3 linked regions of the Tribolium castaneum genome follow. The protein of the gene in region 1 interacts with the protein of each later gene in a pairwise test. Links are inferred from orthologs where the notes say so. Each region holds a gene or a part of one and is shown on either strand. Other genes may lie near its edges. The genes, in order: elgi; Ubc4; iron-sulfur cluster assembly 2 homolog, mitochondrial.

Region 1 (10,885 bases):
AGGCCTAAGTCACACACCGAGCGGTTTTGCCAGTTGCTTGATATTTTTCCTGGGATATCTGATGGCGTATTTATTGTACACCGGTTTTGCGGCTGCTATAACTTCAATTCTGGTGGAAAACGTCGAAACTAACGCTAATTTACAGAACCTCAGAATCGATAAACTTCACTTGATCAGTCCTGAGTGCACCCGGAGCGAGATAAAACAATTCAAAGAAAGATTTGTAATTTCTGAGTTTATGTGAACGACTTTGCAACAACTGTTTCAGCTTGTAACAGAATACGTCTCTGACTTAAATGCTCTATTTGAAAAATTGGATATAAACGACAGGATCGGTGTGGGCCCTGAAATTTCATTACAGCAGTACATGGTGAATAATTTGGGCCTCGACGAAATTCTATCCTTGCAAACAATGAAACTGAATGTGAGATACACCCAAGGTTTTCTGACGCTGCGTAATAATTCGTGGAAAAAAAACATAAACAAACAGTAATATTTAAGATTGTTGGAATACGTTATATCATTGTTTTTCAGTGTAATTGCTTTGGACGAGTCTGGAATATTGCAAAAAATTCTCAAATCAAATTTACGGCCTGTTTCAACTCTCAACTTGAATCCTGGGTATTCAAGTGCCGGTCGTGAACACGTAGGATCCGCAATTTTACTGTTTTTAGGCGGTGTTTTAATCGCGTTATTATTTCTCGTGTCCGAATTCGTGTTTTACTTTTACAAACGGGGTCGTAATCACATTAACATATAAAAATTTACTTGTTTATTACAAGAATTGGCAGCACATAAGAACTACAAAATGCCCAACAGAAGTTAAGTACATTTAAGCCTCAATATTAATCACATTACAAAATAAATAAACATCGCACCCCCCAAAACCCTAACAAAAATTAACTGCAAGAAGCTACACAAATGTATTTAGCTCTTTGAGTTCCTTTGCTAGTCCTCAAAACGTAGGGGAGCTTCGAGTAGAATTTAGTGTTTGATATTTCCATACCTCCATTCAAAAAATTTAGAAATTAAATCACATTTCTGACGTGACTAGTGTTATGTCAGACCAAATCCGATCGGATGTAGGAACGACTTTGTTGTGAATTTTTGAGATCAAATGTCAGATCATTAAACTATACATAACTAAAACGAAACAAAACGGGAAAACCGCACATCCACCAACATTCAAGTCTGCGTCAGCGTTTCCGTTATTGTTGAAAAATCAATATTAACAGCAAATTCTTTGAAAATGCAAAAGTAATCAATTATCCTGGCGGCAGGAATTATTGATGACTTTACGCATTATAAAATCGACAAATGAACACGTTCTGGAACAAAATTGATGATGCAGTCAACGTTTATAATAATTTCTTGATTGCAAAAAGTAAGTTCAATAACACTGGTCTGCAAAAAAATTCTCCCTATTATTATAGGCACTCATCATATATATATGATGCTCGAAGACACAAACTTTTTGTGTAATAAAAAATAAAATGTAAGTATTTTTTAAATTTGGCCTTGCAATCGTTATTAAAGACTTGACTGATTGGCTTCTCCTCCAATTGGAAAATTTAAGGATTGCTATAATATTTACAACAAAAATTATGTGTAAAATACAAAAAATCAATAAAACAATTAAAAATCCTGGTCGTTGATGACGTCACTTTCAATATTCGTGACGCTCCCGGGAGTTTAGACACAGTCAATAATTATTAATGGTTAGATCTCTCATTGAAAGTATAAATTACATTATTATTATTTTTTAAAGTGCATGAATAATTTATTAAATTTATAATTTACATGCGAATACAATCAAAAACACAAGAAAAACGTAACAAAAACAGTTGAAGAGAATTAAATTTTCTACAAACGACGTTTAAAGCCCCTCAAGCGGCGAATTAGTTTCATTTTTACCGGTGTTTAAATGACCCATTAAAGCTATTTATACGTAAACGGGTGAAAATGTTTTAATAAAGTAGACCACAGCCTTAATTTACTTTTGGTTCATGAATAATGGCACATTGCAGTAAGTTACAAAACAGTTAATTTGTTCAAGCTGAATAATCCTGTATCATTAGTGCACTTCCTGTCAATTTTCTAATTTTACGAATTCTAATTGATAAAATTGACTGCATCACCACCAGAACGGAACAATTTGTGGCACTTACAGACCCCAGATTTTATAATAAAGCAGTGAGAAAGATTATGATTAAACTTAATGTAAATTAATGTATTTAAAAGGAATGTAATTAAAAAAAATAAAAACAAAGAGGGTTACTCTATACCGTGAGCAAAAATCATAACTAAACCTGGCTCTACCATCATGTCTTCGCCCATATGCGTATTGTCGCACGCCAGTACCAGCACAGCCTGCTTGCCCGGTACTCTTTTACAAACATAGTTTTCGTATTGTCTCCTATTGTTTTGCCTGGTCTCCAGCGAGCTCAAGCCGGGGGGCCACCTCCTCTCGTGACAATTTTCCATTAGATCGTCTAATATGTGGTTGGGGCACCCCATCTCAGTTAACGTCCTTCTAATCATTCTCTGGAAGGAAATTATGAAAATTTCGCCACTTGTTGATTGAACCTACTTGAAGAACTTCATCTGGTGTCGAGATCATCCCTCCCCATCGGGTGACTCGCGCCCTTTGGAGAAAGTTGCTCCACCTTAAGACTTCATCTCTCTCCATTGCATCAGCTATTGCCCTCATTGAAGGGTTCGATATCCTCATGGCCCTCATGAACTCCTTCAGCAGCTGCATTTCGCGCTTTTGCTCGTTGATTAGGAAGCGCTGCTCGGTGATTTCCTGCTGGAAGTCGTTCATTTTCTGCTGCTGGGTCTGTATCAGCGCTCGCAGTTCTTTCACGCAATTGTGGTCTTTCAACTCATCTTTAGGAATCACTAAACCACAGCCCTTCTCACACGGTAAAGGTCTCTTAGGATTATGTTCGCATTCTTCAAGGTGGTTCGAGAGAGAGTCTAATTTTAATACACGCGTACAGCCATACTGAGCGTTATCACAATTTATACACAGTCTGGAACAAAATATTGAATCGAACGGTTTCATTTCAGACTTTTTGATTACCTAGAAAGCAAGTTTCGTAAAATTCGGGGCACTGGGCGCAGTTGCGCTGATGTGACACTTTGTCGGTCCACGGGGCATGTGGGCTGTCTTGTGATCCATTCGGTTATGCAGGACTTGCAAAATGCATGCTCGCACACAGGTGCCTGCAAAACCAGTAAGACTTTTTCCATTAAAAAAATAAGTAAACACACCTGCAAGGGGTCCTCCAGTACTCCCGAACAAATGGGGCACACCAATTCCTCATCTACATCTCCTTGAAACCTATTAATATCAAAGCCCATTTTAACAGTAACGACCCATCACAATTTGCACGGATTTTAGCACTGCGATTTATTTATAAATTGTAAAATCATATGTGACAAATGTCACCCATCAACAAAATGTCTGACACAGAAACAAAAAATTTAGGAAGTTTTGTCTGTTAGGTTGGTCAGGCGTGATGTTTCAGCTAACCTAATTTTTAAGTGCGTATTTATTTTAACTTTTTATGCTTACAAATAAAAAAATATTGGATTAATACGTGTTATTAACAAAGAACAGTGGTCACATATCGATTTATTTGGTGAATTGTATATTACAACATAGTTTTGTAGGGGTCGTAGTCATGAGTAAGCCAGTTGTTTCCAAACAAAAATCCAAAAAATACTACTTTAAAAAAACTTCCAACAAAAGACTGAGCTTGGACGTGAACTTGCGGGGCTTCCTCTGCAGTTGTAACAACAGGGAAAAGGACTGCATTAAGGAATCTTACAATTTACTAAACGAATATGCTGACAAATTGTACCAAGAGAGCAACGAACCTGAAGCTGAGCAAGACATTGACGACTCGTTGGCTAAAGAAATATCCGAACTGAAGCAAGACAAGAGTGAAAAACGATTCCAGGTTATAGAATCTGGTGCCAAAAATTTCCTATTCATTAGGACGAGTTTGGAGAATCCGGTTGAGCTAGCAGAGGCGATTATAAAAGATGTTGATGGGAGTAAGACCCAAAGAACGAAATTTTTGCTGAGACTGATTCCTGTGGAAATTACGTGCAAGGCGAATGTGAGTGATATTGTCAACGCATTTGTGCCCCTCGCCCAGAAACACTTTGTGGAGTCCCCGCAAACGTTTTGTGTGATCTTCAACCACCGGAATAATAATGTTGTTTCGCGGGATGAAGTCATAAAATTAATTGCAGCGAAAGTGTCCGAGCTGAGGCCTGATCATAAAGTTGATCTTAAAGAGGCAAAAGTGGCTATTATTGTTGAAGTGATAAAGGGGTTTGCGTTTTTAAGTGTTATACCTGACTATCTTAAGCACAAAAAGTATAATTTATTGTCACTTTGTAGTCAAGAACAAGTAGCTGATTGTAATTAATGTTGCAATAAAATTTTCTATTAATATAAAAATTTTATTTCCAAAGTTTTGTTCTAGAACAGATACATGGTTGCATTGCTACAACATGAGTACACATAGTGTAGGTTTGACTATTACCATTGTTTAAAATTTCAAAGTTGCATCATAAAATTCAAAACATTCGTCAATTTCAAGAAGTTAATAAACATTAAAGTAATATATGGTAAAAGTTTAATATCTTTATGCTTAATGGTAAATAAATCTTTGTACAAATAGGAAAAGAAATAGAAAAAATACAGTATTTTAAATGCACTGTGAACATTAAGCTCAAAAAAATGAAACAAATACCACTTCCTAAAAGATTTCATTGTTAATTATACTATCGCTACTTTATTACATCGGTTTTTCAATCAAAATTAGGAATTATAGTTTGTTTAAAAATATAAATACTTACATTATAAATTCACAAATTCAGTTATGCTAAACAATGGTGACATAATATGCACAATTATACAAGTTCAATTGCCTATGTAAAAATATTCAACCTTAAAATTAATCACTGCCTAAAGCGGTAATTTTTATGAAAGCTTTTGTGGTGGAAATTACGACGGTGCCGGTTGCCCGAATAAAACGGCTTGTAACCGTTGTTCTGACTCCAGTTCTTAGTGTTGTGAAATTCCTGAAACAAAAATACGATATACAACAATTCATACAAATATTTGAATACGAAACGACAGCTAAAATCACTCAATTTTCTATATTTTTATCCAAGAAGTTTAGGAAACTATTTTTAAATTTGCAAAATATTTTTTAATATATTTAATAGCTTTTCAAAAAATATAAAGAAGCTATTATCGGAACTAACAAATTACTCACTTGTACGGGATTGTAACCAGGATTAGACTTGTAGGAGTTATTCAGTTTTTGATGTTTGACTTTGCCTTGGTCCGAATTATCACTCAAAGCTCTCTTTCTGTCTTCTCTCCTTTCGTTGCTAATTTCCTTATCTAGCTGAGACCTAGTACCGTTCCACGAGGAAACAGGTGCCGAATACCCACTGTGGGACATTTTGAACAATTCGCTAACAGTCCCATCTTGTTTTTTCTCTCCCCAACTTTTACTCTGCGTCGTTGGTTCAGTTGAAGTAACCTTCCAATCGCCCACTGCCGCCTTCGTAGAAACTCTATACTCCACATCCTGTGGCGACTGATTCGATTCGTCGGAACAACTCGAATCGTCCGTCTCATACGGAACCAATTTCGTAGTAACCGGCTGAAATGACCCTTTCTTTTCCGCATTTGTTGAACTAATCGGTGTTGTACTATTAGTATTGCGTGGCGATAACGTCCGATTCTTTTGCATTAGTGGTGATTTGGCGGTTTCCTCGTTATTTATGCTAGGCATTGATTTTTTCGGGGGAAGCGGAGGTGTCGCCACCGGTTTGTTTTCTTTTTGTGGACTTTTTTGCGGATTTTCCGGTTCGCTGTCGCTCGTTCCGGAACTCTCTGAGTGATTTCCGTTACCGTTAGTGACCGGTGTGGGGTTAACACCGTTGATTTTCTTTTCTACTCGGTCGGGGGGCAGTTCGGGGCCGTAGACTTTGTCGCTCGTAAAACCGATACCGTTCAGTGAAGCTTTTGATGTGTTGTTGCTAGTATTTGCTTCGGGAGAAAGCGGAGGTTTTATCTTGTTGTTTGTCCCGTTATTTGATTTGGTAAATGGAGATGACTCTAATTCGTACAGCATTATGTATGCGTTTGTATTGAACACAGCTTGGTGAGATATCACCCGCACCTGTGAAGGAAGGGAGAAATAAATTTTTCGTCAATTAATTATCCCCTACATAACGTTTTTGTAGACACACATGTTTGTATTATGAATGCGTAAGTTTTATAACTGTCCCTAATCATATTATTACACAATTATGGGGCGAAAAATAAGCAGAACCTTGTAGGTATTTGGGATATAATATTTTTTGTAACATGTCTTACGATCTTGTATTACATGGTATGTCACTGATAAAATAAATTATTGAAATAATTCTTATTAGAATAAAAAAATGCACCCTGTTGTTTTCCTTGACCTATTTTATTAGAAATAATGTATGCTCCAATTGACATTTAGCTTTCATCAAATGTTAGTTAACGTAATGAAAGTCGGAGGATATCTCCTTCAAATACATTTTTCTTAAAAAACTGACGATAGCACATTTACGATGCTTATTTAATATTTTTTACTTAGAAAAACTTTATTTTACAAAGGTTTAATCAGTGTTTAATAGTGCCTGGGTCACCAAATATGAAGCAATAATTTCATAGTGTAATTTTTAATGGAAACTGGTCAGTTTGTCAATGTTACTCTTACCATACTATCATCAAACTGGTAAAAATTACCAGACGGCGCTTGGGCAACTGCAGTGTAGTGGCCACAATTAACAGTAGGTCCCATATGTGTGACTAAGGCAACAAGTCTATAGATCAGTGGAACACTGGGACGATGTCTGGCATACCTTGTTAGATCCAGTCTTTGTCGAAAATGTATATGTTTAGTAATTTTATTATTGCTAACAGAAAACCGTTTGAGTTGTATACAAAGAACCATAGGGGCTCTTTCAAGGGAGAACTGTTTTGTTGCAGGTACCTAGACAAGAGAAAACATAGATAAGTAACAAAATCAAACTTTTGAATACAAATACCCACTTTTTTCTGACAAGACTGACAATGATACGAGTCATCGTCCAATTTTTCCCTAGAGAAGTAACCTTCCAACGCCTCGTCGAGCGTTTGAGCTTTCCTAATGTCTAATAGTAAATCTTGAAAGTGTTGGAAGGTGGTGCTGACGTGACCACACTTCAAACATCTCACTGCCGATCTTAAATATCCGCCTAGTATTTGATTGAGAGGTGTGGTCTCTTTCACTTTTGAATCAAATTCGGAATGGTTTTTAAATCGACTTAAATAGGATTTTTCCATTGCTTCCACTAGATATCTAAGAAATTCGTGCGCATCTTCTTGCCGACCCGGGATGAGGTTTCGACACACCAAACGCAGCTTGTTGTAGATGAGGAGAGGACGGATTGTGTTTGTGTTACGTTGTTGGGAGTCTTGGAGAGTCTTCCGCATTGCACATATTATGCACAGCCCACCTGCAAAACATAAGAAGCTCTCAGTCAAAAAATTCACTCAATTATTTATTAAAAATTTCGAAATGTCTTAAGTTTCGTGATTAAAAAGCACATGCTATTGCTTTATTTGCTCATTAAAAACCACTTCTAATTCTAATCATTGCTTCGATAAGAGTTCTAGAGGTAAGCTAAACAGTTATTGCGCAGTTGTATTCACAATATTATCTTAATTGATCAAATATATTGGCGCCATTCTCACATTTTTATATTGTCGTGTATAGAAATTCTGTTTATGCGGCTTAATAGTGAATAAAATAATTTAATAATAAATAAATTAATTAACATAATAACAAGGCCAGTCAGCTTGCAATTTCCGTGTAAAATTTTTGTAATGCTCGTTTACAATTAAGTATGTTTGTGTCACAATGACAGTTTCAAAATTGAGAGCTTTCGTAATCAGCCCAAAAACAATTAATGTTTATTTTTTAATCAAACAGATGTGAACAGAAATAACTAAGACAAAATCGTCAATATTTTGGTAACAAAATAAATAAAAAATAAAATTAAAATTAATTTTTTTTCAAAATATACACCAAAACCCGGAACTTCCAATTTTTTTTACTAAAATTAACATGAAAAAATTTGTTAGTGGTGTCAACTAAAGATAAGAGAGTAACATTTCTGTTAAAAAAAAGTCGCTTCAAATTCTCAATACCACGAAAACTGTCAACAAACAGGAAATTTTAATTTTTACTTTTCTTTTCAACGGTAAATAAATAAAGGAAAATCAGAAATAGTAATCAACGAAAGAACCAGTGTACTGAAAGATTCTTTGACCTTGCCGGTAATATAGACATCTACACTAATCATATTATTGGAATTATTTTTTTTTATTATTTGAAATTTTAAAACAATACGTAAACAGCGAGCAGAAGTGTTTTAAATTAAATGTTAAAAATGATTATTATGTAAATAAAATTTTCCGTTTAGAAGATTTGATGTTTTACTTGATAACACTAGATTTTTTCCATACTGTATTTGCTCAACTAGATTTAGAGCTTATTTTTAATAAAATTTTGTAAATAATAAAATGCTTGTGGTGAACAAACCTGAGTCCTGGCATTCAGCTGTGTGTTCCTTATCAGAAATGAGCCAATTGACAAGAGCGGGAACGTGGAAAAGTGCTTGAAGCGTAGAGTTGAGATAACAGGTATTTCCCATGTTAATCATGCCGGCCCCCACTGACCAGTCACATTTACTCCAACCTAACTGCACAGCTTCAAAAGGATACAGCTCGTAACTAGCCAATTTGAGCGTTTCATCCGCGCCCATGTCTCCCTCAGGCTTGCTGCGGATTGAGCGAAAAATCACAAGAGCCCCTCAAAACGGCGAAACTCACCTGGGCTGCGGAGTCTCCGAGCTTTTCAACACGATGTACTTCGACTTGAGTTTGTCCAAGACGGTGCTTTGGTAGCTCCCGGCCGGCTCGAAGTCGATGTTGGACAGGAGGGCCTTCTTGGTGGATCCCGCCAACTGCGTGTCCAGAGAACTGTCGTCGGTCTTGGTGAGGGCGGAGCGCAAAGCCGCGTTCACGGGCTCGAGGGTGGACGCCGGCATCCCTGTGACAGCTACACGTGCCAGAGAAACCCCGCGTTGTGGCGGCCACCTACCGTATTGTCTGGCTTCGAACGGTGCTAGCTGGGGCTCGGGGGCTGTCGGTGCAGCATAGTCTCGAACACTGGCTCGGGGGCGAGTTGGCGCGACGCGGTTTTTTATCAGATAACGCCAATTGCGCGATTTATTTAGAACATCAGTGGCACCACCAGAATTTGCTCCGAACGACGATTTTCAGCTTGTTGTCACTAGTGCGCATGTCAATTCGCCCCAAGGGCAGCGCGACAACTACGAGCTCTTTTGGTATTGAACCGTACTTTTCCAAATCTATAATTTTTACGGAGGGTTATTTGTTATTGCTTTAGGTCTTTTATTATTAAATATTTGCCAAGGCTCAACACCCACACATTTGATTCTTATTTCAATGGTTTGGTTATTTTTGTTTTTGTTAAGGGGTTAAGGTTACCGAAATTTGCCGTTAACCAACTTGATTTTTTTTGGAATTTTTTGGAAATTGCCAAATGTTTCTAATTTTATTAGTTTTTTATTAATAACTCAATTATTGTGCGCAATAATGATCAGTGTAATTTTACTTGTTATTATTTACTTTAATAATTAAATTTTTGAAAGGTGAATTTGTCCAAAATTGAATTCCTCTGTGGAAAATTTTAACTTGTTAAAAAAGGGTACCTTAAAAACGGGTACATTTTTTAAAAAATGTTGTGTACTAAAGGAGGGCCTTGCTAGTAATTAATTGCTATCACCTTTTAAGATAAGATTCGTGTGTGACGTAATTTGTTGATTATACTTTTACGACACTAATAATACGTATTAGTCGTAAAAATAAAATTCAATGCGTTTCCATGCAAAAATTTTAAATTGTAAGTAAAAGTTTGAATTTAAAATATAAATTAAAAAAATACTTGATGTGAGCAACCAGGAATACGCATCGGCACTACGGGTAACATACACAGGGTGTCCCAGCAAATATCTTTAAATTTTTTCCTAAGCCGTATATACTGACCTCTGGGTGACTGATGTGCGAATTATTTGCGGGTTATTTCTCAAATTTTCTTAGACGGAATCAAAAACACTAATTGCACTTATGGCTTGATATTGCGTTTAAAACTGATAATGATGTATCGTTCTCTTTGATGGGATTTGGGTTGAAGAAAAAAAAATGTAATGGGAACATGGTATTTATTTGGGTTTATTGATTTGTAGACAAAGACAAGATATATCACATTAATTAAATATATAGAATACAATATTTTGATTTCAATTGACATACAGTACATTAAGCTCGTTATGAAGGGGTGAAAAAATAAATTTAGTCTGAAAGCTCAAGCTTCATTATATTTTATCACACAGTCGGAAAGCGTTAATAAATAAATAAGCAAGGATTTTGATTGCCGCGTGGTAAAGTGTGCAAGATATGTATAGGTTCTTTACAATTCATATAAACTCTTATGAACAACAGTGTATATATAAATTATTATCTTTTTTAATAATTATATGATTGTTTCATGTGCGTTAATAACGTACTACATTTTTATATTATGGATTTACGATTTAATTATTTTCATAATTTTATGCACGACAGTAATAAAATTATGAAGAACAACGCGTACTACATACATAAGTAGAGGTTTCCTAACACGTGTAACAGGCGTCAAGTGTATTACTGTCGTATTTAGATTTTTATTTAAAGTTGCGATAGTTT
Region 2 (10,224 bases), about 220 kb from region 1:
CTTAAACTTTAAAAACCGCCTAAGCAAATTTGAAAAACTCGAGTTTTTTATCAGTCAACGAAACCAGAAAACTACCATTTTGATTCTGGAACCCTTTCAGATCGAAAACACTTTCGTGCGCCGTCACGGAGCAAACCTTTTGCCCCGTATTGATGCTCCACAAGAACACACTCTTGCAATTTTCCTGGTGGGCAGCAACGTAATCACTCGTATGCGACAAAAAACACGACTTTGATAGCAACTTCTGCATGCCGCCCCCTTGAAACGTGTGCAGAATATTGCAGTCAATTTTCCCCTCATTCCTCGCCAAGGTACTTAAAGTATGCCTCGCGTACGTAATTCGACTATTGGGCCTAGAAGACACTAACAATTGCTTTGTGTTTGTTTGGTATTTCATTGAAACGAATGGTCCCTCTAAGGAAATCGGGTGTCTCTTGTACTCCCCATTCGCGTTCTCGTACAGCCAGAGCGAGTTCAACTTGCAGGACACGACGCCCCCTTGCGCCAGGGCTTCGCCCGGGGCTGCCGGGATCGACGCGACTGAAACCACCGGAGACATGTCCCCTTCTATGGAAAAGGTACAAACGGCCTCGGTTAATTGCCGAATGTCGTATTTTATAACCGACCCAGCTTGCGTCCCTACGTATAGCTCGTATGGGTTGTTTTCGTCCCAACAGCATGACCAGAGGGGCATTTGATGGGTGAATTGGTGGACAACCGAATTCTCGTGGTTGTTTATGACCTTAAAGGTCTTGTCCATGGACGCTGTAAGCACCCAGTTCTGTTCCTTGTGGAAACAAATGTCTCTAATTTGCAACGTATGGACTGGAATGAACGCGATTGTTCTGTACCCCGAAATGTTTATTTTTTTCAAGCCGAACCCGGCGAACAAATTCGTGGGCGACTTCATCGAAGCCATGAGCAGGTCCAGCTCGCAGCGCGCGTCAAAAACCCGGCTTCCGCCGAATTTGCAAATCTCCATCGCCTTGTCCATGTACAGCTTGACGCGCTCCACCATGGGCTGGTTGAAAGTAGGAACATTGTTCTGCCTCAGTTGCGTCTTGAGCTGGGCGATCTCCTGCCTCAGCAACTGCTCGCGGTAGGCGCACGTGGCCAACTCAGTCTGGAACTTGTTGCGCTGTTCGGTCACCGAGTCCAGCTGTTTTTTGATATTGTCCAGTTCAGTTGTATCAATTGCTGTTAGTTTTTTGGCGTAAATGTAGCGAATGTCGTGGCGGCGCGCCTTCTCCTTGCAGGTCGGGCACGTTTTGCGCGAGTTCTGGTTCAGCCACCGGGTGATGCACTGCTCACCGAACAGGTGCCCGCACTTGAGGGCGCATATCCGATGGGGGCCCGTGTTCGTCCACTCGTCCAGGCAAATGGGGCACACGGAGCCGTCCTCCTCGCGCTCCTCGTCCTCGAAGGTGCGCTTTCGCGACTGGTTGCTCTCCTCGTCGAAGGTCTGGGGGGTGCTCGCCACTGACTCGGTGGGGGACAGTCTTTCGATTTCGTTGGCTTGTGGCACTAGGGGGAACCCCACGTCGTTGTAGGTGGCGGGGGGCTCGTTATTATCTACGTTTATTGCTACTAATGCTAAGGGGTGGATCTCCTCCACGCGCGGGGAGATTATCTGCAAGGGGTAGTCCTCAGAGCCTTCAACTTCCATCTCATTTTCTGAAACGGTTGACTTGTGTGATAATTCGCACGGAATAACGAGTTTATGGTTACCTCCGTGGTTGTAGTCATCCAAGTTCATTACTTTTTGGGTTTTTTTTCAAATAAATTTACAACCTAACCTCAAAAAACTATCCTGTCAATGTCAAATGGCGACGTCAAACTCAAGGACGTTTCAACGTCAACGACCTTCACGTCCTTGCATAAGATTTTTACGCAAAAATAACCACACGGAAATGTTTTTGCGGATTTTTCGTAACCACTAAGTGAAAAATAACTCATCTGATAACTGATAAAAATAAAAAATACAAATAATTCACGATTATGAACTTCCTCCCTGCTGGCAGTCAAATAAGCCTTTAAATCGAAAAGTTGGAAAAAACTTGCGTTTTTTATATTACTGTGGAGTCACAAAGGTTGTTCCAACTCCCGAGAAGGGGTCAAAAAGACTTTTTAGTAAAAATTTACAAAAACCTAACATTGGACAAATTTTGCGATTACATCCCGTATCTTCTTTCTGGATAAAGCTAGAAATTTATTTTTTTTGTAAAAGATTCCACCGTAAATAATGCAGTTTTACGTATTTACACAAGGTTGACTTTTGATAAAAAGAAACTAAAAATTACATTTTCTTGTAACGTCCTGTGTAATGAATTTTTCGATATGAAATGAAGTTAATAACTTAAATAAGTTTTTCATGTAAGAATCATTTCAATATCTGGAACACTCACAGTTATTACAATATAAAATTACCGCAAAATCTGCTCGAGGTGAAATCGCAGCATATTTCTAAAAATGATAAATTAACAAATTACTTTTAATCTAAGGTTACCAACCGTCCTGATTTAGCCAGGACGGGTTTAGGTTTTTACACTTATGTCCTGTTATATATGTTTTAAGTTGCCACCAAAAACACAGAATGTATCTACCTGATTTTTTTTTTCGAATAAAAACTACCGAAAATCTTCGTTTTTTCGAAAAATTTCTAAAACATGTTAATTAGATAAAAAAATTAAGATAACGGGAAAAACCATACATTTTCCGCCAATTTTTCTTCTTTTTTGGTCGAAAATAAGCCCAGATTTCCTAGGAATTCTTGCTTATAAAAGACTAGAAACCCTTAATTTTTGGTGTAATTTGAATAGGTTTTCATAAAAATTTTGCAAAAAAAGCTAAAGATGTTCGCAGCGATGCCAAAATACTAACAAAAAACAACCTTTTTTTCAAGTGTTATGACAAGATTTTACAGTATATGTATATTATTTTAACCGCCCTAACTTTCTGTTAATATTAATATCAAAAACAGTCAAGTGAACATTTTTATGCAAAATTTTCGGCTTTACAATTTTTGTTTAAAACTTTTTTTTCTAGCTTTCAGCGATTTTGAATAATCTGTAAAAAACGCTTTAATTTCGTTTCTTCAACTAAAAAATTCTTTGTCTAAACGTTTTTAACTGCTCCATGTAACTTATATAAAAAAAGCGAGCTTTTGAACATTTCGATTTACAGGCTTATTTGACTGGACCATTGAAATTATTCAATGACTGGACTAATAATAGGTGATTGTAATTGAATTTAAATCTATTTTGAAATAGTACCGAAGGAGTCTCGACCTTTCGTGGTGCTACTTATGTAAATCTGTTGCATAATCAGTGCATAAATTAAGAGTTAATGCGCAACTTTTATTTTCATGGAGTATTTGAGTTTCAAATGGACGTGGATTGTCTTAGGGTTGTAACTCACCTCAGTGCCTGTATATTCAAGATTAAAATTTTATTTTAACAGTATTCAATCGCCGATTTACAAATAAAAACAGTAACTAATTGGAAAGTGGTTATACAAAGCATTTCATTCAATTACCATACTTGAAGTGCTAAAAAACTAATCTGGTGGTTTTCACTAGCAAGAATAAACCGTAATTAATTGAAAGACTTTGTACTCGAAAGAACTAACGATAAGCATCAGTAACATCAATAAATTTCAAACACCAATATTGACAAAAGTTGAAATTAGTTCGCAAGAGCCAAAACAAGACTTTCGTATAGTGATTACTGAGACATAAGGTAAATGCAAACAATCCTTTTATTCATCTTGTACACCTTCAAAATAATTTAAGTCAGTAATCTATTGGGTAGAAAATGAAACTGCGTTTCATAACCAACTGTTGGAAAAGTGTAGAGAGAATATAGTAAAATGGCGGATTAAAATAGTTCACTAACTAAATAACTGTTCAGTTGCTCTTTCTATATCCCAGTTATACGACGACAAAGCGACCCGCGCCTGGTGCTCCTCCACTCCCATATCAACTAGCCTTTTTATTTTATCGTCACATTCTTTATTTACATGGGGACCTGCAAACAGAGCGTCACGCCGTCCTAATTGCAAACTGCATAAATTACCGCCTGCGTAAACATTTGTCCAATGTCTGGCCGTCATTTGAAACATTTCTATATTTTCCTTAAACTGCTTCGCCACCACGGCGTCCTGTGGGTCATCGGGCTCCGCAGCTGAGAGCAGCGCTTGGAGCGACAACAACACCGTCCTCAGCGTCATAGCTGCAGCCCTAGAATTTCATTTAATAACAAATACTACCACGTAATAGAAAGCACCATTGGTCCTTTAAAATGTCTAAGCAGATAGCGCCCGTTACTGATGATATATTCGGGTGCCATATCTTCGTAATGAACCTGACCTGTTACAAAACTCTTAGTCTTTTTTTTCCTGGTTATGTTGAAACGTACCTTGGGTGGATTGAAGGGGTATGTTTCAGGTACTTTAATCTCTAATACGAAGGTGCCCCCTTCGTAGGCCGTGTCCGGGGGGCCCGTGATCTCGCCTTTGAGCTCTGTATAACTATCATTTAAGAGTTCCACTTTGATGGCACATTTTGCTACCTAAATTTCAAACAAGCACGATCGTATTAGCCAAGTTTGTTGATTGTTACGAAATGACGTTGGAGTGATAACCCCTTCGCTTTGAATTTATGGCAGGGGGCATTTTTCAGTAATCAATATTTTACGTTGTGTACTGACAATTTCAAGTGTGAAAATTCGAAATGTCCGAGGAAACCGAGAACGGTAAGTGGCGTTTAGGAGTTAGAATGACATAACAGAAAAACAGTGTTTGCGAAGTTCCTACCTCTTCACTTTTAATAACCTCTTTAAACTCTCGTCGTATCCTTTGTGCTGCTATGTTAGCCATTCTGGTGGGGAAGTTCCTAAATGCAGTAAAACATAACAGATAAACCGTGGCTCTAAAAAATAGCGATTTGTTGACAAAAGTAAAAAATACACTGGCTAAAGATCGATTTTCACACTTTTAATTTCTCACTGAAGTTAGGCAAATTATGAAATGCTAAATGAAGAAATGTCACTTGTTTTCAATAGCATTATAGCCAACTTTACGGAATTTACGCGCGCGCCAAATCGGCCGAAATCTCGCAAATATTCGGGGATTTTCCCTCGGACTGCTGCAACGATGACGTAAGGGCCCCCCCGCGCGATTTCTGTTGACAATTTCGGCGATATTTTCGACGGAAATCTTCGATAAGCAGGGAGTATTTCGTCACAAGGTTTATCATTCTGGAGCGTTGTTTGCCGATAACATTAGACCCCGCTTCTGATTGGCTGCGCGTTTTGCAGTTATGCCCGTTTCCCAGCCCGTACGTGCTAAAAGCTTGTTGCGGGCAAAGTTGGAAAAGTCTTCGTTGATCCTCCAGAGCAGAATGCCGAACATTAAAGTCTTCAGCGGGACCTCGCACCCCGACCTGGCCCAGAGGATCGTGGACCGGCTGGGGATCGACTTGGGCAAAGTGGTTACGAAGAAATTCAGCAACTTGGAAACATGGTGAGTGGGCTTTGGAAATTATTTGCTTATTGACTTGGCTTAAATTGCGACTTATTATTATTATTTTATTTTAGCGTGGAAATTGGGGAGTCCGTCCGTGGGGAAGACGTGTACATCGTGCAGTCGGGCAGCGGGGAAGTTAACGACAACCTGATGGAACTCCTCATCATGATAAATGCGTGCAAAATTGCGTCCGCGAGCAGAGTCACTGCAGTCATTCCATGCTTCCCGTACGCTCGGCAAGACAAGAAGGACAAGGTGAGTGCACAATTGCTCCAATTGTGTACCTGCACATGTGTAGATAACCTAGACGCCACGTGACTTTGTATACATCTGCAAGCGGGTTTGTGGAGACCGTAGTTTTGGTTTTTAGGACAATTAGGGTTGTGGTTTTTCCTATTGACCTGACAAATTAGTCAAGCATCTGGTTTAATAATTGGACAAGTTCAATCCGACCACGTAGTTTATTAATTTGAAACAATTTGTTTACCGTTAGGTCGGCAAAAGGAGCACGTGGTTGAGAGGGCGCCACTGCCGCGACTTAAGTATTTCAAACATGTTTGCTTTGCTTAAGAAATATATGATTTATGATGTGTTAAATAGTCATAAAGGCTTTTTACTAGAATATTAGCAAAGGCATAATAAATGTAACTGCACTATTAAAAGTGATTTTGCTATATCCATTTAACAAAGACAGTCTTTAATTTGTTACTTTTTATTACTACAATTATTGTGTACTTTTAGATTTTATTGATGTTTTTCTTGACACAAAAGTGGAAAAATAAGTCTATTTCTTATCATAATAAATACTAAGTGATTGTGTGATTAAGGTTTGCCAGTATTTAAATATCAAATTCAAAATTTTATACAAATAATATACACTTCCATGCCTAGCCATCACCTGAAACAAATTAGAAGAATGACCAATAGCTCAATAATGCCAATAGATTTTTTGTCAACATGTACTCATTTGAATGTATGCGTTTTTTTCTTATGTAGTTGGTAATCTAGAGGCAAAAACGTGGTCTAATTAAATATTACCGTTCGAAATTTGATTAACTGACTCTTCAGTTTTATTAATTATAATAATCAGCCTTGCCATACAAGAAAAGAAGCCATAAAAACTTACTCTAATTATAAATTCAAATGATTGATTGGTACTATGTATTATAATAACAAGATAAAAAAAACTAGTGGGGAGTCTACAGTTGAAGAGCAGATTTCGAGAAAAATTATTAAATTTTTTTTAATTACTGAAATAATGATTTCAAAACGTGTCTAAATTACATTACGTGTTACTTTTCCTTCAAAAGACCAAATTTTTCTTTAACAAACTATTTTTCATGTGCATCATTCTACTGCTCTACCCAACCGCCTTTATCTTGAATTGTCACAGGACTAAGCAAACGAATTTAGAGAAATCATACGTTTACAAAAAAATTTACAATACACTTGATCACGATTTTTTTAATATCTTTATCTCTTTCAGTAATTTTTTGAAATAATAAGAGTTCCAGGTAAATGGAATTCTTTGCTTGTGGCAGTTTTCAAGTGCAATTTTAAGTAACATTAAAATATTATCATTTTAATTCGGGGTGTTCTTAGTGCAGGTCCCAACTGGCCTGCCCTAATTGTTTTCCCCCTCAAATATTTGTTTATTACAATTTATTGAGTAATTTGAACAAAAATATTTTATTGGTTCCTTATCTGTGTAGCAAAACCACTTTTGCTTTCAATGACGTCTAAGCGAGGAACTAGCCACAGTTCTCTTAATTAATTAAGATTCTGTATATCTATTACTAATTAGCATAACTTAAAAATAGTTGAAATGGTCGGAAATACGTCAATAAGTTCGGGTTCATGTGTGTTTATAAACTGATAATAGTGGAATGTTTAGCAAAATGCATTGCTTTAAATAGTTTTATATTTCAAGAGTAGATCAAGTAATGTAATAATGTTGAACTACTTACACTATCGTGATAATAATTAAACTCTAATTATTATGATTCTTGACTTTTTCTAACGTGACAGAGATTGAAGTTTTTTCTAAAAAGTTGAAAGAAACTTATGTAAAGTGTATTTTTATTTATAATTGCACCTGTTTTTCGTATTCTCAATGTTTCTGTTGACAAATTTCCAATTTTTTCTCTTATGCAACGTAGTTCCCATAAATAAAATTTAATTTTAACTGAAATCATTCGATTAGAATAAAGTAGATTTACACCTTCGTACATTCACATACACACTTACCTGATACGAGATTATTTTAGCCTGCGAATAAAAATGACGTCGAACGCAACGTGGAAAAATGGAAGTCAATCGAATGGAAATTCAGGGTAAAAATTGTTAAATTTTGTGAATGTTGCAGGGGCTTATTGGGAAAGTGTCGTCTGAAAATCATGTTTTTACGCCAGAGTTAGACTAGCTTTGTACGTTGTTAATAACACTGATACAAAACACAGCGTTCATACGTCGCAATTAACAAATAATAATAAAAAAATCATAAATGGGCGCGTAATTGCGACACGCTGTATATGATTCCCGGAACTGCATGCCAGGATTACAAAACGAAGGGGAAACGTACTGTTGTGAAACAATTTTACATTGACGAAATAGTCATTATTATCGTGTAACAAACATTCAGGAGTCAGAAGTCAACTTTTGTTTATCTGTTTATTGTTGGGTAAAAATTATCATCCGAAAAATGATGTAATGATCTTGAAACCATGCGATAATAATAATAATACCGAAGACTTATTAACTAACCCGACATGTCATTTTACTAATTGAAAATTTAGCTAGATAGTGGCTTGGGAATTTTGTTTAGCTTTTAACATGTTAGGTCCCTCGCCCTCGGCCCAATGCATGCCAATTTGAACCTTTGCTCAACAGAGTCGGGCCCCAATTTCGGCCAAACTGGTCGCGAACATGCTCTCGGTGGCGGGGGCCGATCACATCATCACCATGGACTTGCACGCGTCGCAAATCCAGGGCTTCTTCGACATCCCGGTGGATAATTTGTACGCCGAACCGGCGGTGTTGAAATGGATCAAGGAGAACATTGTCGAGTGGCGGAACAGTATAATAGTGTCGCCGGACGCCGGGGGCGCCAAGAGGGTCACCTCCATCGCCGACAGACTCAACGTCGAGTTCGCCCTCATCCACAAGGAGAGGAAGAAGGCCAACGAGGTGGCCTCGATGGTGCTCGTCGGAGACGTGAAAGACAGGGTTGCTATTCTGGTCGACGATATGGCCGACACTTGCGGCACGATCTGCCACGCAGCCGAGAAGTTGACCGAAGCTGGGGCTACGAAAGTCTACGCGATTTTGACGCATGGGATTTTCTCCGGACCTGCCATAACTAGGATTAATAACGCGTGCTTTGAGGCTGTGGTTGTCACTAATACGATTCCACAAGACGGGCATATGAAGGATTGTTCGAAAATCCAGGTGAGTTGTGCGATTTGGCACAAATCACAAGTTTGATGATTGTTTGGTTTTTTAGTGCATTGATGTGTCCATGATGTTCGCTGAGGCGGTGAGGAGGACGCACAATGGCGAATCAGTATCGTACCTATTCTCGAATGTTCCTTATTAACCCATTTTTATTATTTTAAATAATAAAAGTGTTAGGTTGTACTGCAAATCCTCAGATGTAGAAGATGTTCGTTTTATTTCTTTATAACTAATTGATGATGAGATACAAATTCATATTTTTTTAAATTATAATTTAGACCTTTACAGGTGCATGCCATAATATTTACGCTAATTACAATTAGGTTCTTGCAATAAAATATTTTTTTATTATTTCGAAATGGTCTTGTAGTGTATATAATTATGGCTTATTTTTGTACAAGAAATAAAAGACACGAGCTTTCTCTATACATTTTTTTGCAAATTATTTTGTATAAAAGAACTTAAATATACACAATAAATAGATTATAAAAGCGTTTTCGATTGATACTAACCTAGTGTTTCGACTGGCCTTCTGGTAAAGGAACATCAAAAACTATAGGTAGGTTTTTTGGAATATAGTTAATATCACATGTTGAAGCGTTGATATAGATGATTTTTCCGTCCGAGAACACTCCATAACCTGGCGAAATAAAAGGAGCGGTAAAATGAGTTTCTTCTCTAGGTGGCACCTAACTGAAGAGAATTTTTACCGATGGTTTGATTTATTAATTAATGAAATTTTGTAAGAAAAAAACCTTGACAAAGTTTTATTAAAAAATCGAAACGTCGAAACACTTCCTACGACTGTTATGGAATAACAATTTTCTGGGAGGATATTCTAACACTTTAGTTTTTGACGAACGGCAAAATTTAGAAGTCTACTACAATTATCATTCACGTTCTCTGTTGTAGTTGTTTCTAACTTAAACTTATCGAGTTTTGGAAATTAGCCAGGCGCTTAATCCACCTCTACAGCAGAACAATAAACAAACATTGAACTTTCAAGTAGGTTGGAATTTAGATAAATGTTCAAATTGGTTGAAATACAGATTGAGTGTAAACTAACTTGCCTTCATGTATGTGTCCGAAAACGTGATATTTGGGTTTGACCCTTTGTTGGACCGTCGTTAACAACTCTACGCATCCAGCTCTAACCCCCGAACAGACCAAATCGCCAAACCCCAGAGGCGGCGTATGAGTTATTAAAACGTCCGTATCGTTTGGAATCAAATTCCACTTGGAAAGACA
Region 3 (9,082 bases), on another chromosome or scaffold:
AATACAAAAAAGAAAAAACCCTGACTAAATTAAGACAATCATAACACTTATACAAAACAGTATAAATTACGAAAAAAAATATTCTAAAATTTTAACCTTTACAGTGTATTTATTAGGTTAGAAATTATGTAAGAGAATTTCGGTTGATATTTTCTATAACTACTATAATGTTCACTTGATTCAGAAAATAAGAGCTGTTAATCACACCATATAAAAGTTTTGCAAAAACTGTATATTTTGAGATATTTAAATTTTTAGTGAATTTGCTCCAGGTTTTATTACTAAGCCATTTTTTTGCTCTTAAAGCTTTTTTTTCTTAATTTTTTGCTGCTATAAGCAATTTGTTGTACCATGTTTTGCCCTCAGAAACTATTTTTTCCAACTTTTTGCGTCATTTTTTGCTGCTGCATCTAATTTTTATGCCATTTTTTCTCTCACAATCTATTTTCTCCCCTGTTTTTGCTATTGAAGCAAATTTTTTACGCCATTTTTTTGTGAATACAATAGTTCTTCAAACAATTCAACAAAAAATAAACTGCGTATATAAAGATACTTAAATTTTTAGTGAATTTTCTCCAGTTTTATTACCACAAGCTATTTTTTGCTCCTGCAAGAAATTTGTTGCTACTAAACGACATTCTTTGTATTATTTTTTGCTTCCACAAACAATTTTCTGCTCCTATTTTTTGTGGGCACGTTATAACGTTTTATATGGACTATAAACAGACAAAAATAATTTTGAAAATTATGGAAACAAGAATTCAACAATCTAATATTGACAGATAACATGTTTTTTAAGTACATTATTCATTCGCAGTTGTTGCAATTTTTTTTAAGTTGAAGCAAATTTGTTTATGTTTAAGATAGACTTTATTAAGTTAGGAATTGTTTAAGTTTTGGTATTATAAATTAGTTTATTTGTCTGTTTATCCTTGGAGAGATATTTTTTCCACAAACTTCTGTCTCTGTGTTTTCAGTGTTGCCAACTCAAAATTTAAAGTCACACATGGTACAATTAATCTACTTAACGAAACTTACTGATTTAACGATATTATGGAATCTTTTTAATACTCGTATTAACATCCTGTGGTACTTTGATATAAAAATTTGTCTAATAAAAGCGCAAACGACCCAAGTAATACAATTGATTCAACCATTTTTTTTATGTTAGATTTATTTCATCTTACGTTTTTCTAAAACGGGAAAAGGGTCGCTTCCCACGCAATTTATTTTAATCGACACGGTGCGTTTAAAAAGGTTTTCACGATTTCATGGTGCAAGACAGCCACCGAATAAAAAGCTCGATGAAAGCTTTCGAACTCAATAAGAGAATCATCGCAAATTATAAAAAGCTCAAAAGAAGGATTATACATCAGGACAGTGTACCTAAAATTGGATCAATATTGGCACACTGTGGGTGCAGGTAAATATACATAAAAAATTATTTACACAAAAAAATTTCAGGTACCCATCTCGCCTCAGGTTAAGACCGCATGACTAATTACGTGTCCTTTAAGCTTTTTGTCATTCGATGCAGAATTTACTTGCATGCAAGGAGCGGAAGCGTTTCCAAGTTTATAACTTCGATTACAAGGAGATTACTTCATGCTTTCGACAATTTCGCAATTGCGAACAATTTTAATAGGTAGCGCAAAAACTAGTTTCGTTTTACGAGTTGCAAATAATTTGTTGCGAAATGAATAGTTTTATACAGTGCATAAATGTCATGTGTAAGATTTAAATTTGCACTTGCGGCGCTATAAACCATTGTAGAATTACTCGAGCTTTATAGACCTCGACAAGCCGCTAAAATAGTCAATCAAACCTATTTCCTTCATGCTCTGTCGTTCCACCTGTATAATTTAATACTATCTACACACATTAAGCACCCAAATGGGTTTTAATTCGCAAACACATGTCTTTTCTACCTTCAGGTAGGTATAACGTCCGTCAAGTAATATTCCCAAAGGGCACTTATACTGGTCCACTTCGAGATCTTTTTAGGGGATGCTTTTACGGATAACGTGATTTATTGCACATGAAATTGCGTGAAATTTTATATAATAGCCGATTTCACGGCAAGGGGACGATTTAAACGGTGGTTGGTGATTTATGGAGGATGTGTGGGAAGTGGATAAGCACAAAAATTAAAGAATCTTGAGTAATTATCCGAAATTGTGCCTTTTGATTGGACACGACGTGAAAAAGCCGGGATAAAAGCCCCGAATAATCTATCAATTCGTGCCGACGCGTCCGATATATTTTCGAAATAATCAGTCATAGAAATGAAGGGGTTGCACTTCTTGGGGTGACAAAAATGAGCGACACAAATTTTAAAAGTCTAGGAAAGTGAAACTTTGAAAGTTTTATACAATAGGTGGGTATACGTTGTTATTGCCAAGTTGGTATATACGGAAAATTTTAGTATGTTCAGTAAAAAAAAAACTAGTATTAAACCATTCCTTTGAAGAAGGCAACAGAATGCAGAGTTGATTTGAGATTATTTATAACCAATTTATAAAAAACATTTATACTATAAACAGCTTTGCCTTTGAATTTTTATTTTAATTTTTAATGAAAAATAAAAAATTAAATTTTGAGCGACATCTATGCAATTATTGATAAGTACAAAGTTACAGTGATCTGTAAATTTTATAGTGTCAAACCAAAACGTCAGTAGTGTCATTCAATTGTCAAAATAAACTAACCTAAGATATGTGATTAGAAAATAAATAATTGGGCCGATTTATGTAATAATTCGCCTAGAAATGGACAAACCAGGCGATTTGGAAGCAAAGTACCAAAAGCTCGCCACAGAATACTCCAAAGTGAATTATTTTAATTTAAAATTAGTGGGGCGGATCCGCTGACATCTCCAATTTTTGCAGGTGAGGTCGCAAGCCACGGTCTTGAAAAAAGCCGTTTTGGAGGAACAGGCGAAAAACAATGAATTAAAAGACACAATTAAGAAACACGAGCAGAAGATACGGAAACATGATCAAGAAATGGAAAGCCTAACTTTCCGAAACGAGCAGTTGACTAAGCGGATATCAGTGTTGCAACAAGAATTGCAAGTGAACAGTCACGTTAAAAAAGGGAAAAATAAAAGCACCGAGAACATCATTCAATCAGACACTAGTGTCCTGGACGAGGAGTTGCAGAAAAAAATTCTAGAAAATGCCCAACTTGTTAGCAGTGTAAATATTTATATTTGCTACTGTTGCTGGTTATTTTTAGGCGTGTTGTAGATGGCTGATAAGGAGTACGAGCTGAGCGATTGCAAGGAGAGAATCGCATGGTTGGAGAAAAGATTAGATAACTGTGAGAAAGAATATCACCAGAAGGAAACGAAATATTTAGAGGACATTGCCAAGCTTAAAAGGGCGAAATATGAAGTCGAAAAGAAGGTCGAGGAGCAGCACATGGATGTGCTAAATTCTGATGTTGCGTCTAATAAATCCAGTGAAGACCAGAATGAGGTATTTCTCTTCAAAAAATTCGGAAAGCTATAAAGTGCATTTTAGGTCACTTTTTGGAAAGAGGAAGCTGAGAGGTGGCGCTCTGAATGCGAAGTCCTGCGTTCCAAACCACAATCAAACGAACGGTTGACTGAATATTACGAATCTCAATTGGGCGAATTGTTGCAAGCCAAGCAAATGGCCTTCTCAGAAACCAAAACTTTGTGGGGTGAAAATCAAGCCTTATATTCAAGATTAGAACATCTGACTGTGGTAAACAAGGAAATAGAAGGCAATCTAGAGAAGAGCAATGAAGAGTTGCTTACCACTATAGAAAATTACAAGAGTCAGCTTGATGCAATGACTGAACATATAGCCGCCCAAAATGATAAGATCACGAAACAGTGCGACGAAATCCAAGCACTCAAACATAAAATTGCGAGCAAAAAGTAAACATTCCTTTAATTTAATAATTTATTTACATTATTTACTCTGTATAAATTATGCGGTTTGTTTAATCGACCTGTATTTATTTACATATTTGCAAAAAAGTCTAATACAGTTATTGCACTAATCTGTTTAATCCAGTCTGACAGCAAAAGACGACCCACAGGAACACCCTTGCTCAGCTAACGGGTTATTGACAATCCTGAAGGAAGATTTAATTAGTTCTTCCCGGTAGTCGACCGTCGCTCCTCTAACAAAGTCCAATGACGTTTCATCAATCACAACTTTAGCTCCATTTTTTTCAAATATTCTGCAAAATCATTTGTAGCTAAAAATACATAATCGGTGCTCACTCACTTATCGTCTTCATTAATTTTCGAGTCTAGGTCAAATTTATACTGGAAGCCCGAGCAACCGCCCCCATCTACACTCACTCTTAAGAACTCATCCGAATTTTTACTGATATTTTTCAAACGCTCGACGCAAGTGTCAGTGATAATTAATTCCGGTTTTATGTGCTCCAAAGGTTTAATTACAGGTTTTGAATAATTTCGGGATAAAAAATTACGCACACTATTAATTTTAAACGGATAGAACCGTCTCACTAACCCTGACATTTTCATAGGTTAGATTATTTTGGCAGTGCCATAATTTGACAGTTAAGCGGCTCTTGCCAACAGTTGCATCAAAACCAAAAATTACTAGAAATGCCGGCCTGGAAAGCTGAATTTTCCGAATTTGGTCGCAGATTTTATACAGTATACAAATCGAGCTCGTTGACTATTTTGGTCATTTACTCACTTCTTGCTCGATTCTCTGCTGTGAATTACAGATTTTATAAAATTTTTTAAACTATACAAAAAAATAAAAAAAATGTGGGCAGCGATATCTAGGTGTCGGAAGTCAAAGTACAATTTTACAGTAACCTGTAAATCTGCGACAGTTGGTGCCATTTAGGTTAGGTTAGCATAACCTCACAAAATTCACGTTTTTAATTTTTCTTATCACAAGACCGGAATTCTCGCACAAATCAAAAATGGTCGAGCAGCAGAGACAGAGAATTGAGCAAGAAATGACCAAAATGGTCAACGAGCTCGATTTGGAGTATTTGCGCAAAATGCAGGTACTGTATATAATTTGTGACCAAATTCGGAAAATTCAGCTTTCCAGGCCGACATGCATCGCTGCGCTGCGAAATGCTGCGACAACCGGGAAATCTCACTCGAAAGTGTTCAAAAATGCGTCGAAAACTGCGCCTCGTCCGTGAACTATGCCCAGAATTACGTCCAAAGAGAGCTAGAACAGCTCCAAAATAAGCTACAAAGGTGCGTTATGGACTGTAACGACGACATTCGGGTGAAAATGGGGCCTAATCCTTCGGAAGCTGAAGTAAAACAATTTGCCAAACTTGCAAAAATATATTACGTTTTTTAGGTTAGTAAATATACAGCGCTGTTTGAAACGTGTGCCAAAAACTGTGTTGATAAACAAATTGCATACATGCCCTCGCTTTTAAAACGAATGAAATCTGAACTAGGAAAAAATAAGTGAGGTCGAGCAAACTATATATAGTGGTTGTTGTTTTTAGTTACACTTGAATAATAAAACATGTTAAAAAAATTAATTTGTGGCTATTTTAACGGGGATTCCCCGTGCCACACATGCCGCTCGGGTTGCGTAGAAGTTTATCTCTGATGATTTTTTTACGGCACTTAGGGCTTTCAACAACTCTGGCTCGTGAGTGTGGCAAGTGGGTGGCGGATCAAAGTGTTGTTTTGAAAAATTTACTACAAAACAATTAACGCCGTGTGCGATTTTCACATTTTGTTTACCTTTTTCGCCTTTCTTCCATTTCGCCTTATCCAGGTGTTTCCAATGGACTTTTGAACACGGTATCCAGTAACTCAAAAATTCAGTCGCCAAAATATCAGTGTCCAGATCTGTGACCTCCCATAGCATTCCCACAGTACAAGGGCTTTAAAAATAAGATTTATTACAATTTCGCTGCTCCGCGGGCGCAGCCTGCGGATGTCTAAGATTAGGAAATGAAACGACCCAAATAATTAGTGAATTGGTTGAATTTAAAACGATTTGTCGTATTTTTTAAGTTCAGAAAATCCAACAATTTTGTATCTCGTTTCATCTCCTACGTTATGCTTCTCCCTAGCGCAGCCCGAGGGTGTAATCAAATTTAATAAAATAAAAGTTGGAAAATACCTGCAAGCAATTAAATACACATGAGAGGCCGTGGCCATTTCACTTTGGGGCCCTAGCCTCGTCAAGCGTGTGCTGCCACAACCGAACAAGACAACAACAGCATTTATCCGAATCTTCTCAACGTTAGTTGCGGAGAAAAAATGCGAACCGCTCCCATGTCCGTTATAACTACAAAAGAACTTAAGTTTTCCAATTTCAAAATTATTATTTCCAATTACGAGAAAACGTCTCCTGATAAGAGCAGTTTTACAAACTGTTCACTCGTCGGCCTCGCACCGGTAATCCCCTCCCATGTGGGTAACCAATAATCACAGAAACTTTCTATCCGATTTTGCATATTAACCAAGTCTAAGTCTGGGTTAATGAGATATGTGCCACTTTGTGGATTTTTTAAAATTTTAAAACCACCCTCCATACTGTCTTTGTGCTCTTGATATAAGGCATAAGCCAAATGTAGGGATGGTAGTCTCGAAACTGTCGTTTCTGATAAGATTTCCATCATTTCCCAAGGGTAAATGTCTAGGCTCTGCGTAGAAAATGATAATAGAAAAAAAACTGGTGATTTTAATTAACTCACATCATCAATAATTAAAATTAAAGGGTGCCGTTTCTCTTGGAAAAGCTTAAATTCCTCCAACAAGTCCCTAATGAACTGGCCAACACTTCTTTGTACATTTTTTTCCGGGAAAAGGAATTGTAAAGCGCTCCGTAATTCAGTCATTTTTAAATAATAATAACTCTTTATTAAATACTGCACAATAACTTTGGTTTTCTCATCCAATTTAAGCCACGGAAATCTACAAATAACATAGATATCCAGTTTTGTTTGAGAACTATCAAGTAATAAATTTACGTACGATTTCAAAAAATTTTGACCAAATTTTTCGGCAAAATTTCCTGAAATTCTTGGCCCAAGTATGAGCGAAATCACTCAGGAGTGGCTGTAATTATTGTTGTTATTTTGATATTTTTATTTACATCATTATCGCGACCAAATTTCTTGGAATAATTTAGTTTAAATAAATTAAATAATGTAACTCAGATCCTTCTTGGTAAATATGTTATTTCGTTTCGACAAAATCCCGCAAAATAAATCGAGTTGCTAGCCCAAAAACAATCTAATCCACTTAAAATTGAAAATATTTCTCGCACTTCAGCCAATGTTTGTTTGGAATAAAACTTAATTTTCTTCCCTTGGAGATTAAGTGACTTACTCTGTTCTAAAAAAATCTTCAATTCGTTTCCGTATTCTGTTTTCTAAATCACTGTTGATGTATTTTCCCATAAACAAACACTTCCACTCTTTCAAATACAAGTTACTCAAGTCCCTGACAACCATCTAGAATGAATTAGTTACGACCAAAGAATAATTTACAATAAAAATTCTTACTTCTAGCCTGTCATCAATTGACTTTCTCTGGCAATAGTAATGATGTTTTTGCGAAACGTTAGCAAAATGCTTTTGTTTGGATGATTTCAGTAAGAGTTCTTTGTTGTCTGCAAATATGGAGTGCATTTCTTTGGCTAGTTCAACAGGAGCCCCCTTGACACTGTCATGAGGTGCACTAATACTGACACAAAACGGTTTGGGTTGGTTTGGACCACAGTTGAACACAGAAATGTACAATGGGTTTGTGTGATGTTCATCTGCGGCTATTTCCACGTTCGCTTTGCAAGTAAATTGTGGTGTAATTTGAACCAAAGTCCATTCTGCAAGAGGGTAAATAAAACACTCAGTTATTTATTAATTGTTACCAGGCGGCATTTCTTCAATTTTGCTGAGTAAACTACTGATGTTCTTCTTGATTTCTGTGTTCGGGCAACTCGAGGCGACATAACTCTTGTCCAAAGACAATAACTTTACATTGTCTGTGACTGAAGATAGAGTTTTCTCGTAGCGTATGGCGGTTTTAAGCCGCAAACTTGGCACATGAGACTCGACTAGATGATGTATTGCTTGCAATTCGTTGCTTTTGAGGCACTTGCAGGCTTTAATTCTTTCCAATCCTGTGACAATCAAAATTTAGGTTAGGACCAAATTGGTGTTAGCTTACTTTGATAGAATAAACCGGAGGGATAATGAAGAGGGGGCAATTGCCTCAAGATTTTTTTTGTTGGGATGTTTTCCTTGTTTTCCATTCTAAAAAACACCGGTGTTCTAACTGAAAACAAATTTAAAAAAGACGTCAAGTTTGACACTTGACAGTGCAACAAACGTGCGCTGAATCTTGAAATTTGGCGGTAAATCAAAATTCATTTTTTCCAAAAAAATTTATTAAAGATTAAATACATGTTAATTAGGACACAACTTATCCAAAAACGAACCAAAACATAAACCTGACACATTTGTGGGCTTTAAAAACATTTCGTCAAAACTATCCAGACTTGTCGCCTCACCTAAAATCGAGTCATAAATGATAAGGAACAAGAAATGGTAAAACGTACGTTCTTCCACGAAACTTCTTGCAGAACAAAGATTATTTTCTATTCTATCAAATAAATAGATTTTAACACAGTCAAGCTCTTGCAATACCTTAAAAATGCTAACTTAGTTCTGGCCCAAAAAATCGTACACAACTTACTTCCAACAACGAATAAATATCGACGGGTTTGATGTAATGAAAATATTCACACAAAACCGTAAAGGGAATGTTGGGAAAATCAATGCAACGGGAAAAAACCAAACACAGCCATTCGTAGAAAAGATTATCGTTTAGACACCCGTCAAGTTTAGTCCACGGTTTCAATTGTACTTTTCTAGGCTCAAGCGAACTGAAAATAACATTTAGAAAACATAAATCAATCAAATTCGACTTACTCGAGCTTTTCCCCCATAAAAGCCCTTAATTGCGTCATTTCTTCTTTTTCAGTCGATTCATAAATTTGTTTTTCTTCGCGTGACAACATAAAAGTTTCAGTCAACCACTCGGACTGGTACTCATAATGGACATAAATAAATG

The links.
Region 2: the proteins of elgi (region 1) and Ubc4 interact in binary tests that used the Homo sapiens proteins (3 or more experiments, as listed by UniProt). The link is inferred for Tribolium castaneum from reciprocal best matches to the Homo sapiens genes RNF41 and UBE2K.
Region 3: the proteins of elgi (region 1) and iron-sulfur cluster assembly 2 homolog, mitochondrial interact in binary tests that used the Homo sapiens proteins (3 or more experiments, as listed by UniProt). The link is inferred for Tribolium castaneum from reciprocal best matches to the Homo sapiens genes RNF41 and ISCA2.

The regions. Positions count from the first base shown.
Region 1 is NC_087394.1:31,067,945-31,078,829, reverse strand, and holds elgi (E3 ubiquitin-protein ligase NRDP1), read right to left. Parts: upstream 3,367-10,885; coding exon 3,086-3,366; intron 3,036-3,085; coding exon 2,591-3,035; intron 2,545-2,590; coding exon 2,275-2,544; 3' UTR 761-2,274; downstream 1-760. Other genes in the region: uncharacterized protein LOC103312325, read left to right, coding at 3-223, 269-489, 535-760; THUMP domain-containing protein 1 homolog, read left to right, coding at 3,690-4,445; scny (ubiquitin carboxyl-terminal hydrolase 36), read right to left, coding at 4,981-5,103, 5,301-6,218, 6,789-7,064, 7,124-7,569, 8,658-8,896, 8,948-9,165. UniProt on the Homo sapiens protein: Acts as E3 ubiquitin-protein ligase and regulates the degradation of target proteins. Polyubiquitinates MYD88. Negatively regulates MYD88-dependent production of pro-inflammatory cytokines.
Region 2 is NC_087394.1:31,291,683-31,301,906, forward strand, and holds Ubc4 (ubiquitin-conjugating enzyme E2-22 kDa), read right to left. Parts: upstream 5,232-10,224; 5' UTR 4,876-5,231; coding exon 4,813-4,875; intron 4,752-4,812; coding exon of another isoform or gene 4,730-4,751; exon of another isoform or gene 4,598-4,729; intron 4,569-4,597; coding exon 4,416-4,568; intron 4,367-4,415; coding exon 4,284-4,366; intron 4,238-4,283; coding exon 4,074-4,237; intron 4,026-4,073; coding exon 3,889-4,025; 3' UTR 3,433-3,888; downstream 1-3,432. Other genes in the region: E3 ubiquitin-protein ligase RFWD3, read right to left, coding at 20-1,674, 1,729-1,756; Prps (ribose-phosphate pyrophosphokinase 1), read left to right, coding at 4,730-4,751, 5,316-5,520, 5,595-5,778, 7,791-7,856, 8,413-8,970, 9,026-9,118; metallophosphoesterase domain-containing protein 1, read right to left, coding at 9,489-9,616, 10,047-10,224. UniProt on the Homo sapiens protein: Accepts ubiquitin from the E1 complex and catalyzes its covalent attachment to other proteins. In vitro, in the presence or in the absence of BRCA1-BARD1 E3 ubiquitin-protein ligase complex, catalyzes the synthesis of 'Lys-48'-linked polyubiquitin chains.
Region 3 is NC_087396.1:12,841,804-12,850,885, reverse strand, and holds iron-sulfur cluster assembly 2 homolog, mitochondrial, read right to left. Parts: upstream 4,646-9,082; 5' UTR 4,529-4,645; coding exon 4,263-4,528; intron 4,216-4,262; coding exon 4,038-4,215; 3' UTR 3,919-4,037; downstream 1-3,918. Other genes in the region: protein phosphatase 1 regulatory subunit 21, read left to right, coding at 2,769-2,828, 2,889-3,197, 3,249-3,479, 3,525-3,911; protein FAM136A, read left to right, coding at 4,942-5,028, 5,076-5,294, 5,340-5,456; uncharacterized protein Sse, read right to left, coding at 5,526-5,692, 5,738-5,880, 6,123-6,290, 6,341-6,648, 6,700-6,919, 7,337-7,461, 7,513-7,832, 7,878-8,129 and 1 more; uncharacterized protein LOC100142360, read right to left, coding at 8,416-8,519, 8,568-8,655, 8,705-8,894, 8,941-9,082. UniProt on the Homo sapiens protein: Involved in the maturation of mitochondrial 4Fe-4S proteins functioning late in the iron-sulfur cluster assembly pathway. May be involved in the binding of an intermediate of Fe/S cluster assembly.